Linked DNA regions of Macaca fascicularis. The protein of the gene in region 2 purifies or fractionates together with the protein of the main gene of each other region. This does not show direct contact. Links are inferred from orthologs where the notes say so. Each region holds a gene or a part of one and is shown on either strand. Other genes may lie near its edges. The genes, in order: ISCU, HSCB and SDHAF1.

What was found.
Region 1: the proteins of HSCB (region 2) and ISCU purify together in Homo sapiens (affinity purification with western blotting; 3 studies listed by BioGRID and IntAct, with this or other methods). This does not show direct contact. The link is inferred for Macaca fascicularis from reciprocal best matches to the Homo sapiens genes HSCB and ISCU.
Region 3: the proteins of HSCB (region 2) and SDHAF1 purify together in Homo sapiens (co-immunoprecipitation; 3 studies listed by BioGRID and IntAct, with this or other methods). This does not show direct contact. The link is inferred for Macaca fascicularis from reciprocal best matches to the Homo sapiens genes HSCB and SDHAF1.

What each region holds. Positions count from the first base shown.
Region 1 is NC_088385.1:115,395,240-115,399,500, reverse strand, and holds the start of ISCU (iron-sulfur cluster assembly enzyme ISCU), read right to left. Parts: upstream 2,856-4,261; 5' UTR 2,829-2,855; coding exon 2,715-2,828; intron 1,824-2,714; exon of another isoform or gene 1,193-1,823; coding exon 1,079-1,192; intron 186-1,078; coding exon 75-185; intron 1-74. Other genes in the region: SART3 (squamous cell carcinoma antigen recognized by T-cells 3), read left to right, coding at 4,261-4,261.
Region 2 is NC_088384.1:22,920,497-22,924,145, forward strand, and holds part of HSCB (iron-sulfur cluster co-chaperone protein HscB), read right to left. Parts: intron 3,357-3,649; coding exon 3,267-3,356; coding exon of another isoform or gene 3,262-3,266; intron 2,100-3,261; coding exon 1,955-2,099; intron 1-1,954.
Region 3 is NC_088393.1:43,235,739-43,238,906, reverse strand, and holds SDHAF1 (succinate dehydrogenase assembly factor 1, mitochondrial), read right to left. Parts: upstream 1,659-3,168; 5' UTR 1,572-1,658; coding exon 1,224-1,571; 3' UTR 547-1,223; downstream 1-546.

The DNA.
Region 1 (4,261 bases), on a different chromosome or scaffold from region 2:
ACCCATTAGACCCGTCAAGAGACAGGCTTGGGGTGAATGCAATTTCATTCTGTCAGATTTGTGAGCAACCTTACCGTCTTTCCTTTCACCCATTCAGTGGCTAATGAGCTGGAGGCAATTGCAGAACCACAGCCAAATGTTTTAAACCTAGCATCCACAATTTTCCCCTTTTCATCCACTTGAATCTAGAAAAGAGACAAGAGTTAAGTGGTGAGTCCTAGGACCACCCTCTGGAACTTGGCACTCACGAAGGTTCATTGGGGCCTTCCCCAAGGGCTTTGGGCTTGCTTTCCATACTAAGTGATGGTATTAATTACTGATTTTGCCTTGTTTCAGAGAGCTCAGTGATGAAAAGTGAAATGCAGGGACAATTATCCAGGCCCAACTGACAAAGATCAGCTGGAAAATATGTTCCTCCACCCCAATATTATTTTGTTTTGCGACTCTGGCTTGCATTTTGGCTATGAACTTCTATTTGAGGCAGTCTGCTCACAGCTGCTGGGGCAATCTGCCTCTTAAACACTGAGAGAGTACACAATAAAGGTCTCTGGTTAATACTTTTTTCTTGGGCAGCAGATTATACTTAGTGGTTTCCTCCTGTTTTGTTTCTGTATTCCAAGATAGGTATGAAGATCTCTGGCAAGCTGCCCACTCACCATGAAGCAGCAGATTGGCGCTACAACAACAGTTTACCCAAAGCACTAGACACTATCTTCATGTTGCTCCCAATCTGGGGACAGGTTTAATTTACTGTGTTTCTTATCTCATTGGGGACTGCTAGCTCACTGGGATTTTCCTTTGATCAGTAAAATTCACAAAACTCTTTCGTTGGCTGAAGTTGGAATTTAAACTTATACAGTGAGTACAAAAATGAGATTACTTTTCTATTTCGGAAAAAGTCGGCATAGTACACTAGCCTGGCAGGAGAGCTACGATTGAGGCCCTGTTCCAATCACGTCTAACATGGACTCATCCCATCTCACAGGAATAAAGATGGAGACCGAGTGAAATGCTGTATGTGCAAGTGCTTTGTAAACTTAAAGGGATTATTGTTATCACTATTAAAGACTAGCCATACCTGTAATTTCATTACGTCACCACATGCTGGAGCCCCCACCAGTCCAGTTCCAACATTTTTAGATGTCTTGTCAAGGGACCCCACGTTTCTAGGATTTTCATAATGATCAACAACCTAAAATGAGAGGGTTAAGATAAATCGTGTTCACTCTCTATTGGTGCTGGTCTCTGGTATGGTGGCAAGCTCCTGGAAGTCAGCATCTTGAACCTGGCAGGCAATCACCAAATTTCACCTGAGTAGAAAGGTCTACACTCATGTCAGTGAGAACCATTTGTGACCCCCAATTCCTTTTGTGTCTCCTCTACAACTACTTCACAGATTAGCGACACCTAGAAGAAAAAAATATCAGTGAAATCATGTCTTAATTCCATAGGGTTTTTACAAAAATACTTGACTTTTACCCACCTACATCACCAGACTTGGGCTCAAACAGCAGTTTTGTTATTTTCAAATAAAAACTATCCTCAAAGGATGATTACTATTTAAAAATTCTAAAAATAACTATGGCCCAGGAAGGGAAAACTTTTAGAAGCCTTAAGGTGACTGTTACACAGAGAACAATGCTATGGAATGTGTACGTTTATGTGTCTTTCAAAATAAAAACAGTGCCATTACCGTATTTCAGAGCCTGTCATCACCCTGGTGCAGCAGCGCACCCTGGCTGCTGAAAGGCTGCTAGTCCAAGTTTCCTCGGGGTGTACCCTCAACGAAACACACCGCCGGGAGGGGGAGGAGTGAAGAAGCCCTTGGAGAAAGGGCAGAGGCCAGATCAGAATCAACATCCATTCGAACTGGCACACAGAAGGCCTTAATGTGGTTACTGGTTAGTAGTAAGCACCCCGATCTTCCAGTCCCCTTTTCCTCCCCATCTGACTAAGGATTTTGACTCCAAGTAAAGGCCCCTATAGGATAGTATCTAACGGAGGGACTTTTTGTGCCACGTTGATTTATGGCATTCTTTGTTTCTAGAGTGGGAGTCTCACGTCTGGGGGACTTTGCGTCACCAGACAGCAAGGGGCTGCAAACTATGCATCTATCCCTCCTTCCCCGCCAAAAAAAAACCCCCAAAACAAAACAAAAACACTACGCATGTTGGTTACAAGCCTGACTCCCCTATGCACTCCTAAAGCAGTAACAGAAACGGTCTCCTCGTGCTGGGGCCTATGTGCCAGGAACCATGACAGGACTCCATGCACAGTATCCTTTGTAAGAGACAGCTGAGAGTCCTCATTTACACCTGGGGAAACAAGTTCAGAGAGGCGCAGTGACTAGCGCAAGGTCATCTAGCCAGGGCAGCAGCGTGGCTGAAGCCGGAGCCCGCTCCGGGGGTGTGTCTGTCCCTGGACTCTAAAAGACAAGTCCCAACAGGACCCTGCCTCCTGGGCTGTTGGCGAATTTAAAGTTGGGACGCACGAAGTCGCGGCCAGCGGCGGGGCCCCCTGGAAGTCGCAGCCCGATGAGCGGTAACTGTTGTTTATCAGTTGCAGTGAGCCTCACTGCGCAGCAAGGGAAAGTGAGTCAGGGCAAAGACGTGGGAGGCGACAGCTAGTCCTGGCTGCGTAGAACCCCGCGGCCGCCGCTCCAGCCCAGGCCTCCCCCGAGTCGGCATTCCGCGTGTCCCCTCGTTTGTCCCTACCTTCTTGTGATAGAGTCGGGCCGGGGCCGATAGCTCCCGGGCGGGCAGGCGGGGGCTCCGGAGCAGCAGAGCCGACGCTGCCCGCCTCAGACGGCCAGCTCCAGCTGCCGCCATCTTGCCGGCTTGCGCCTGCGCCAGTCCAGAGCGATGCCGAGGGGCGGGGCGCGTCTGCGAGTCGGCGCCGAGCTGGGAGCGCGCCTCTCTGGCGTCACCGAGGCTTTGCGCCTGCGCCTTACCGTTCCGTGCAAGCCTCCGCCCTGTGGCCCCGCCTTGACCACGCCTCTCGGGGGCGGGCGGGGTCGGGAGCGGGAAGGTCTGAAGTCGCTAGAGGGCTTGTCCTGGGTGCTGGATTCTGGTTGAGAGAGGATCTCAGGCTTCTGCAGTGTGGGAATGCGGCGCAGAGGACCACTGAGTCCACTTTTCCTAACCCTATTTTGCAGCTAAGGAAGCTGAGATTCAGGGCAGTTTGGTCACTCCGTCCAAGGTCGCTTAGGGCTTAGGTTCAACTAGAATTCGAACTTGGGTAGTCCTGGGTTAGAATCCTGGTTCGGTTCCTTCCTGGCTGTGTGTCCCTAGACAAATGGTACCGGCTTGCTAAGTCTGAATCTTCCTTTTTGTATTAATTCGAGGACAATTCCTTCATCATGAAGCCAGCATCTGTGTTGAGTACCTACTATGTGTCAAGGCACTCTACTAGACCCGGGGATCCAACAGAAAGCAAAACAGACGTAATTCCTGCCCATTAAGCTTGCTAATGAGGGAGCAAGGTAGAGATAGAGACACACTCCAGTACTTGCCTACCTCAACAATGGGAAGCTTAAGAAGGAAACGAACACCATGTCCTGATTGAAAAAAAATGAGTATATGTCTATTTTTCTCTCTGAAACAACAGCAAATTCAATTTATATGTCGGTGCCTAGCAATTAAGAATTTCTAAAGAAATGCGTATTTACTGTTGGTTTGCAGTATGTGAGCTTATAAAACCGGAAAACTCAAGTGTATTTAACGCCTCCTAGGTACCAGATGTTTACATAAAGGGGAAGAATTTCTTTGGGAAATGGATTTTTCTCTTGAATGGTGAAATCGATCCTTCCCCGAGGACCTGCAGTTTTCTTTGCGTTTGAGGTGCAGTTGCTGGGGAGACTAAACCCAAGCGCCAGGTCACACTAGGCGATAAGTAAGGTATTTTTTCTAAGAATCACTTTGACCTTCTCAAGATGGCGCCAAATTCTTTACTACAGACACCACGCTCGCTTCATGACTTCCTCTATGGCCTCCACTTCCTGCCCAAAGACCCAACTTCTGTCCGAAGTTGTGACGGAACGTATGCCATGATAATGAGTTTTTTCTCTGGTGGGAGTTTTTACAGGGGTATAAAATAAAATGAATTTAGTGTATTTGGAGATTTTCTCGTTATCTAAGGTTCCCAGTTTCCCTTTCAGTGTCAAGAAAACGGGCTTTTGATAAGGCGCGCGCCGCGGGCAGCTTCTGCCTCAGCGGGTCTTCGGCGGCCGCGGGAAGACCCGAGAGTCATTAGAAGCGCAAGA
Region 2 (3,649 bases):
GTCTTGATCTCCCGACCTCGTGATCCGCCTGCCTCGGCCTCCCCAAGTGCAGGGATTACAGGCGTGAGCCACCGCGCCCGGCCTAAGAGGAACAGGTTTTTTTTAGGGGAAAGGTGGGGAGGGGAGACACTTGGGAATCCATTTTGGGCACAGTTGACATATATAAACTCCAAGAAGGCACAGTCTTTCTTGTTCTATGCTGTATCCTCAGTGTCATACGCAGTGCCTGATATTTGTAGTAGAACACTACAAATATCTGTGAAAGTATGTAATGAATAGAGTCTAACAGAGAACCTTGGAATCTTTTATATGTGGAATGGTCAATTTGATGAGTCAAGTTGGCTAGGCTATGGTGCCCAGTTGTTTGCCAGGCACATTGAGTCACGCCTGTAATCCCAGCACTTTGGGAGACTGAGGCAGGGGGATTGCTTTGAACCCAGGAGTTTAAAGCCAGCCTGGGCAACATGGCGAAATCCCATCTCTATAAAAGACACAAAAAATTAGCCAGGCGTGGTGATGCACGCCTGTAGTCCCAGCTATCCAAGAGGTTGAGGTGAGAAGATTGCTTGAGCCCATGGGTCAAGGCTACAGTGAGCTGTGACTGTACCACTGCGCTCCAGCCTGGGTGACAGAGTGAGACCATGTCTCAAAAAAACAAAAACCAACTAGTTTAGATGATCCTGTGAAGGTATTTGTAGATGTGATTAACATTTATAATCAGTTGACTTTAAGTAATGGATGTTACCCTACATAATGTGGGTGGGCCTCATCCAATCAAGTAGAGGCATTAAGTGCAAAAACAGGTTTTCTGGGAAGGAATTCTGTAGCAAGACTGTAACATAGAAATCCTGCCTAGACTTTCAGCCTGCTTATCTACCTTATAGATTTTATTTATTTATTTTTTTGTGACAGGGTCTCACTGTCACTCAGGCTGGAGTGCAGTGGCGTGATCTCAGCTCACTGCAAGCTCTGACACCCGGGCTCAGGTGATTCTCCCACCTCAGCCTCCCGGATAGCTGGGACCACAAGTGTGCACCTCCACGCTTGGCTGATTTTTTTTTTTTTTTTTTTGAGACAGAGTCTCACTCTGTTGCCCAGGCTGGAGTGCAGTGGCACAATCTCGGCTCACTGCAAGCCCCGCCTCCCAAGTTCAAGCGATTCTCCTGCCTCAGCCTCCCGAGTAGCTGGGATTATAGGCATGCACCACCATGCTCGGCTAATTTTCTATTTTTAGTAGAGACGGGGTTTCTCCATGTTGGCCTGGCTGGTCTCGAACCCCCAACCTCAGGTGATCCACCTGCCTCGGCCTCCCAAAGTGCTGGGATTACAGGCGTGAGCCACCACGCCCGGTCGATGCTTGGCTGATTTTTTAGTCTTTTTTTTCACAGATGGAGTTTCGCCACATTGCCCAGGCTGGTCTCGAACTCCTAGACTCAAGGGATCTGCCCTTCTCGGTCTCCCAAAATGCTGGGATTACAGGCATGAGCCACTGCGCCCAGTCCTACCCTATAGATTTTAGATGTGCCAGCTCCCACAATTATGTGAGCTAATTCCTTAAAGTAAATAACCTTCCTTTTTTTTTTTTTTTTTTTGAGACGGAGTCTCGCTCTGTCGCCCAGGCTGGAGTGCAGTGGCGTGATTTCCGCTCACTGCAAGCTCTGCCTCCTGGGTTCATGCCATTCTCCTGCCTCAGCCTCCCGAGTAGCTGGGACTACAGGCGCCTGCTACCACACCTGGCTAATTTTTGTATTTTTAGTAGAGATAGGGTTTCACCATGTTGGCCAGGCTGGTCTTGAACGCCTGACCTCAGGTGATCCACTCGCCTTGGCCTCCCAAAGTGCTGGGATTATAGGCATGAGCCACTGTGCCTGGGCCATTATGTACTCTTTACGTTCATTTTTCACTTATCCTTGGACAAGCAATGAAATACATTCGGTGCTATTTTGTCTTTCACCTTTGACAATGGATTCAATCTCTTTCATGGCAGCTTCACTTTCAGCTTCTGCAAGTTTTTCATTGATTTCCATTATTTCCATGAGAAATTGCCTGTCCATTTCATAATCTGTCCTTTCAGGAATCTCTATTCCATGGAGCTTTAGCTATTGGGGCAGAAAGCAAGAAAAATAAGTTGAAGAAACTATGGGCAGAGTAATCTAAATCCTACTCATCCGTTAGGAAATAATACCTCTAATAGAGAAAACTGGAACAGTCCCAGTAATGAAAGACTAAGGGGTATCAAAAGGTTGGACTGAAACATAAATGCTGGAATGGGATTTCCACTTAATGCTACCTGAAACTGTGTGACCTTGGTGTGATCTTGGGGTAGTCATCCCTCCACCCAGAGGTTGAACTAGATGTTTCTAAAGATTCTATTCAATTACAAAATTTTCTAGATTGTAAGATACTTTTTTTTTTTTTTTTTGAGATGAAGTCTCGCTCTGTTACCCAGGCTGGAGTGCAGTGGCATGATCTCAGCTCACTGCAACCTCTGCCTCCTGGGGAAGCAATTCTCTGCCTCAGCCTCTCAAGTAGCTGGGATTAGAGGCACCTGCCACCACGTCTGGCTAATTATTTTGTATTTTTTGTAGAGGCAGGGTTTCACCACCTTGACCAGGCTGGTCTTGAACTCCTGACCTCGTGATCCACCTGCCTCGGCCTCCCAAAGTGCTGGGATTACAGGCGTGAGCCACCATGCCTGGCCTCTTAAGATACTTTTGAGAGGGGAAAATAAAAAAAACACAACAGAAAATGACTTTTAACTAAAAGCTACCAACATCAAATCCTTGAAATTCATAGAAAAAAGCTAGAAAATAACAATTTAAAAAATGCTGTTGAGGCAAGTAATATTCACAGAGAAAATTATACTTGTGCTGTAAGGCTAAATACTATTGGGTCCCTGGACTCTTTTTTTTTTTTGAGAGGGTGCAGTAGTACAATCACAGCTCACTGTAGCCTCGACCTCTCAGGCTCAAGTGATCCTCCTGCTTCAACTCCAGAGTAGCTGGGACTACAGGTGTATGCCACCATGCCCAGCTAATTTTGGTATTTTTTGTAGAAATGGGGTGTCATCATGTTGCCCAGGATGGTCTTGAACTCCTGGGCTGAAGTGATCTGTCCACCTCAGCCTCCTAAAGTGCTGGGATTACAGGTGTGAGCCACCATGCCCGACCTCAAGCACTCTTCTGCTGAATAAAGGGGACGTGGCTGTCCTATGTCATAATGGGCATCAGGACTTCATGCACAAAAGGGTTGGGAAATCACCTTACAAGGTACAGTCCTCTGCTCAGGGGGGCGAGGAGGGTCTTATAGGCGTCATTCACCAGGGTCGAATGCTTCTCTGAGAAGTCCTTTTCAGTCTGTTAGTGGAGATGAAGATAGTACTTTACCATCCAAATTACAAAGTTTTTTTTTTTTTTTTTTTAGACAGAGTCATCCAGGCTGGAGTGGCAGTGGCATGAACTCAGCTCACTGCAACCTCTGTCTCCCACGTTCAAGTGATCCTCCTGCCTTAGCCTCTCAAGTAGCTGGGACTATAAGCGTGTGCCACTGCACTAGGCTAATTTTTATATTTTTAGTAGAGACAGGGTTTCACCATGTTGGCCAGGCTGGTCTTGAACTCCCGACTTCAAGTGATCCGCCTGCCTGGGCC
Region 3 (3,168 bases), on a different chromosome or scaffold from region 2:
TGGGTGCAAATACAGCTCAGTGATGCAAACTGCATCCCTCCACAGAATGTCTAGGGCAGGCCCATATGGGGACACAGGAGGGAGTATACCTGTGATCTATGGGGTTCATCTCCCCTCCCCTGCCCCAGGCCTTGTCGTTCATTGTAGCTGAGGCTGGACCCTTCAGCTGTGTTTGAGAAATTTCCAGGTCTGAGACCCCCACTACTGCCTCAGAGGCTTTGAGCCAGTTCTCAGCTCCACCATTTCCTGTCCCACACAAAGATGTTAAACAACTTGCCCTCCATTAGGGAGCCAACTGGGGTATCTTTGGGGGTTAAGCCAGGATGAACCCCCTCCACAAATCTGCCCAGGGGAGAGAACTATGCTGCTTCAATCAATGTGCCAGTCTAGAGGACTCCGGAGGGAGTCAGATTCCCACACCTATTACCTCCCAGATGGTCCCTTCCAGGTGTCTGTGTGTGTGTGCGGTGGTGGTGGTGGGGGGGGGGGGGGTGTTTCAAAAATCCTCAAATATATAAAAGCTTTAAGACCACCAACAGGAAAGTAGACATATCCCCAATTTTATTCCCTTTGTCCAACATTCTGAGAGGGAAGGGGCAAATGAGTCAACGTTGCCCCTCAAAACCATCAAGTAGGGCCCTTTAGTTGATCAACCAGGGTGACAGACCGCTAGCCCCTTCCTCGTGGTCCTGGCTTGTCACAATTAATGGGGGAAAGTTTTCCCAAAGGGGATTCCGGGCTTCTCACCGCTTGATCAGGGAACCTTCCCAATACTTTCTCAGCAAAAAGTCTGCACTTCTCAGAGTTAAATATAGGAGAGGGGAGACTCGAGGAGCCAGAGGTGGGTGTGTTCTCAGGGGTCAAGAGAAGGGTGTCTCAGGCTCTCCCTGTCCAGCAGGGGGCGTCCTGGCTCCCCGTACCTTCGGGCAAGTAGCTCTCGGCTTGACACTGTCCAGCCCGCCGGCGTCCCAGGCCGCCCCAAGCCCTCATACGGGAGGAGCGCCGACCTGTCTCCAAGCACCGGAAAAGGTGGGCCTCTCTTGCCGTCCATCATGAGGCTCTCTAGGCCCCCTGCGTCGCCAAGGGGCAGTCTCTGACATCCCCAATTCGTCGAGCTAGTCTCTCGAGATCTCTCACCTTAGGCGGGTTCCCCAGGCCCCCCACGCAGTCAGGCGAGCCTCCTGGCTCCACCACGCCATCGAGCGAGTTCGGCTCTTCGCCAGTCACCGTCCGTCGGGCCGGGTCTCCGGTGCCCCCGTGCTGTCGTGGGGGTTCCTTGGACCGTCGCCGTCGTCAGGCTGGGAACCCACGCCGCCAGGCTCCTCGGTCGGGGCCCGCGGGCGTACGAAGGCGCCCATGGCGGTGGCGTGGCCCGAGCGTAGCAGCTGCAGCTGGCGCCGCCCGCGGCGGTACAGGTACTCTATGCGCAGCACGTCGGAGCGCGGCAGGCCCGCGTGCTGCCGGAACTCGGCCCGCACTCGCGCCTCGGCGCCCGGTTTCCCGCGTCCGGCACGCAGCAGATCGCGGTACAGGCTCAGAACCTGCCTCTGCAGCCGGCTGTGCCGGCTCATGACCGCGGCTAGGCAGAGACGCTCAGCGAACTCCCTGCTAACCGCCGAGCCGCCACACAGCGAGCCAAGGCCAAAGGGCAAAGCCACAGCCACTTCCGCCCTGCGCTTCCCTTGGCCCCCAACTCCCGCCTCCCGCCATCCGGCGCTGCCGCGTCTGATTGGCTGTCGTTGCTGTTGCACCACAGCGGGCTGGGAGAAGTGGGCGGAGTCTCTGGTCGCGGCCTCCCCTGTAGGGAACACGTGTTCTTGAAGGGACAGCAGTTCTGGGGATCCTGGCACCTGCGTGTCGTAGGAGGAGGTCGCTATGTGTTCGGACTCCTAGGTCTTGGGTCGGAGGGAACAGAGAGTCCTGACCTAACTCCTGCGTTCTGGGAGAAGAGGAAGCTAGGGTTTGTTTTTTTGTTTGTTTTTTTTGTGACGGGGTCTCACTCTGTCGCCCAGGCTGGAGTGCAGTGGCACGATCTTGGCTCACTGCAGCCTCGAACTCCTGGGCCCAAGCGATCCTCCCACCTCAACTTCCCGAGTAGCTGGAACCACAGGTGCGCGCAACCGCGCCCCCTATTTTATTATTATTATTATTTGCAGAGATGGGGTCTCGCTATGTTGCCCAGGATGGCCTCGAACTCCTGGGCTCAAACGATTCTCAGCCTCCCAAAGTGTTGGGATTCCAGGCGTGAGCCACTGCGGCCTGCTACGGGTTCGGACTTTGGGTCCCAACGGCGTGGAGCACTGGGAGAGACACTGGGCACAAGCGTGCTCTTGCCGTCAGTTACTGATTGAAACCATCTCGGGAATCTCCGTGCGTTCCCTCGTCCGGGGCAGGTCTGTGTCTGGGGTCCCAGCCCTAGGCACGTGCAGAGGGACGAGGCCCCGTAGGGAAATGGCTCTCGGCCGGTTGGACAGGCTTCTCCGTGCTAGGGGAAGACAAGCAGAGGGGGTGTGGGCGCCAAGCCCCCAGAGGCAGCGTGTGGCTCTAGGAGCTGGGTTGGTCGCGCCCTCTGCAGGTGGGAGTCGGGGCACTGGGCAGCGGTGTTTGGGTCCTCACGGACTGTTAAAGCCGGGAGTCTGGGACGCCCTGAACAGTGGACTAGACTGGCAGCCCGTTGTCCTCCCAGGAGCTTCAGGTCGTAGGCCGCAATGCCGTTGTTGTCCCCGCGGGCCGCTTGGAGGCGTCCTGGTAGCGCCAGGGAGGCCCGCAAGGACACAGCATCCTCAGGCCCCACCAGCACCGGAGCTTGGGGGACCGCTCGGTGACAACCCCAGACCCCTCCACCCAGCGTGCAACTGCGGCTCACACACTTGGGCCGGCAGCCAGCTGGGGGTCCGTTCCTCTTCAGAGAGGAGAAGCTGGTCAGGGGCGGAGATTAGGCTTGGAGTTTCGGAGTCAAGGGAGAATCAGAAACCACTGTGAATCCTGCCTGTCGGGTGTATGTATGTCTATCAAAAATACATGTCCTAGAGGCCGGGCGCGGTGGCTCAAGCCTGTAATCCCAGCACTTTGGGAGGCCGAGACGGGCGGATCACTAGGTCAGGAGATCGAGACCATCCTGGCGAACACGGTGAAACCCCGTCTCTACTAAAAAATACAAAAAACTAG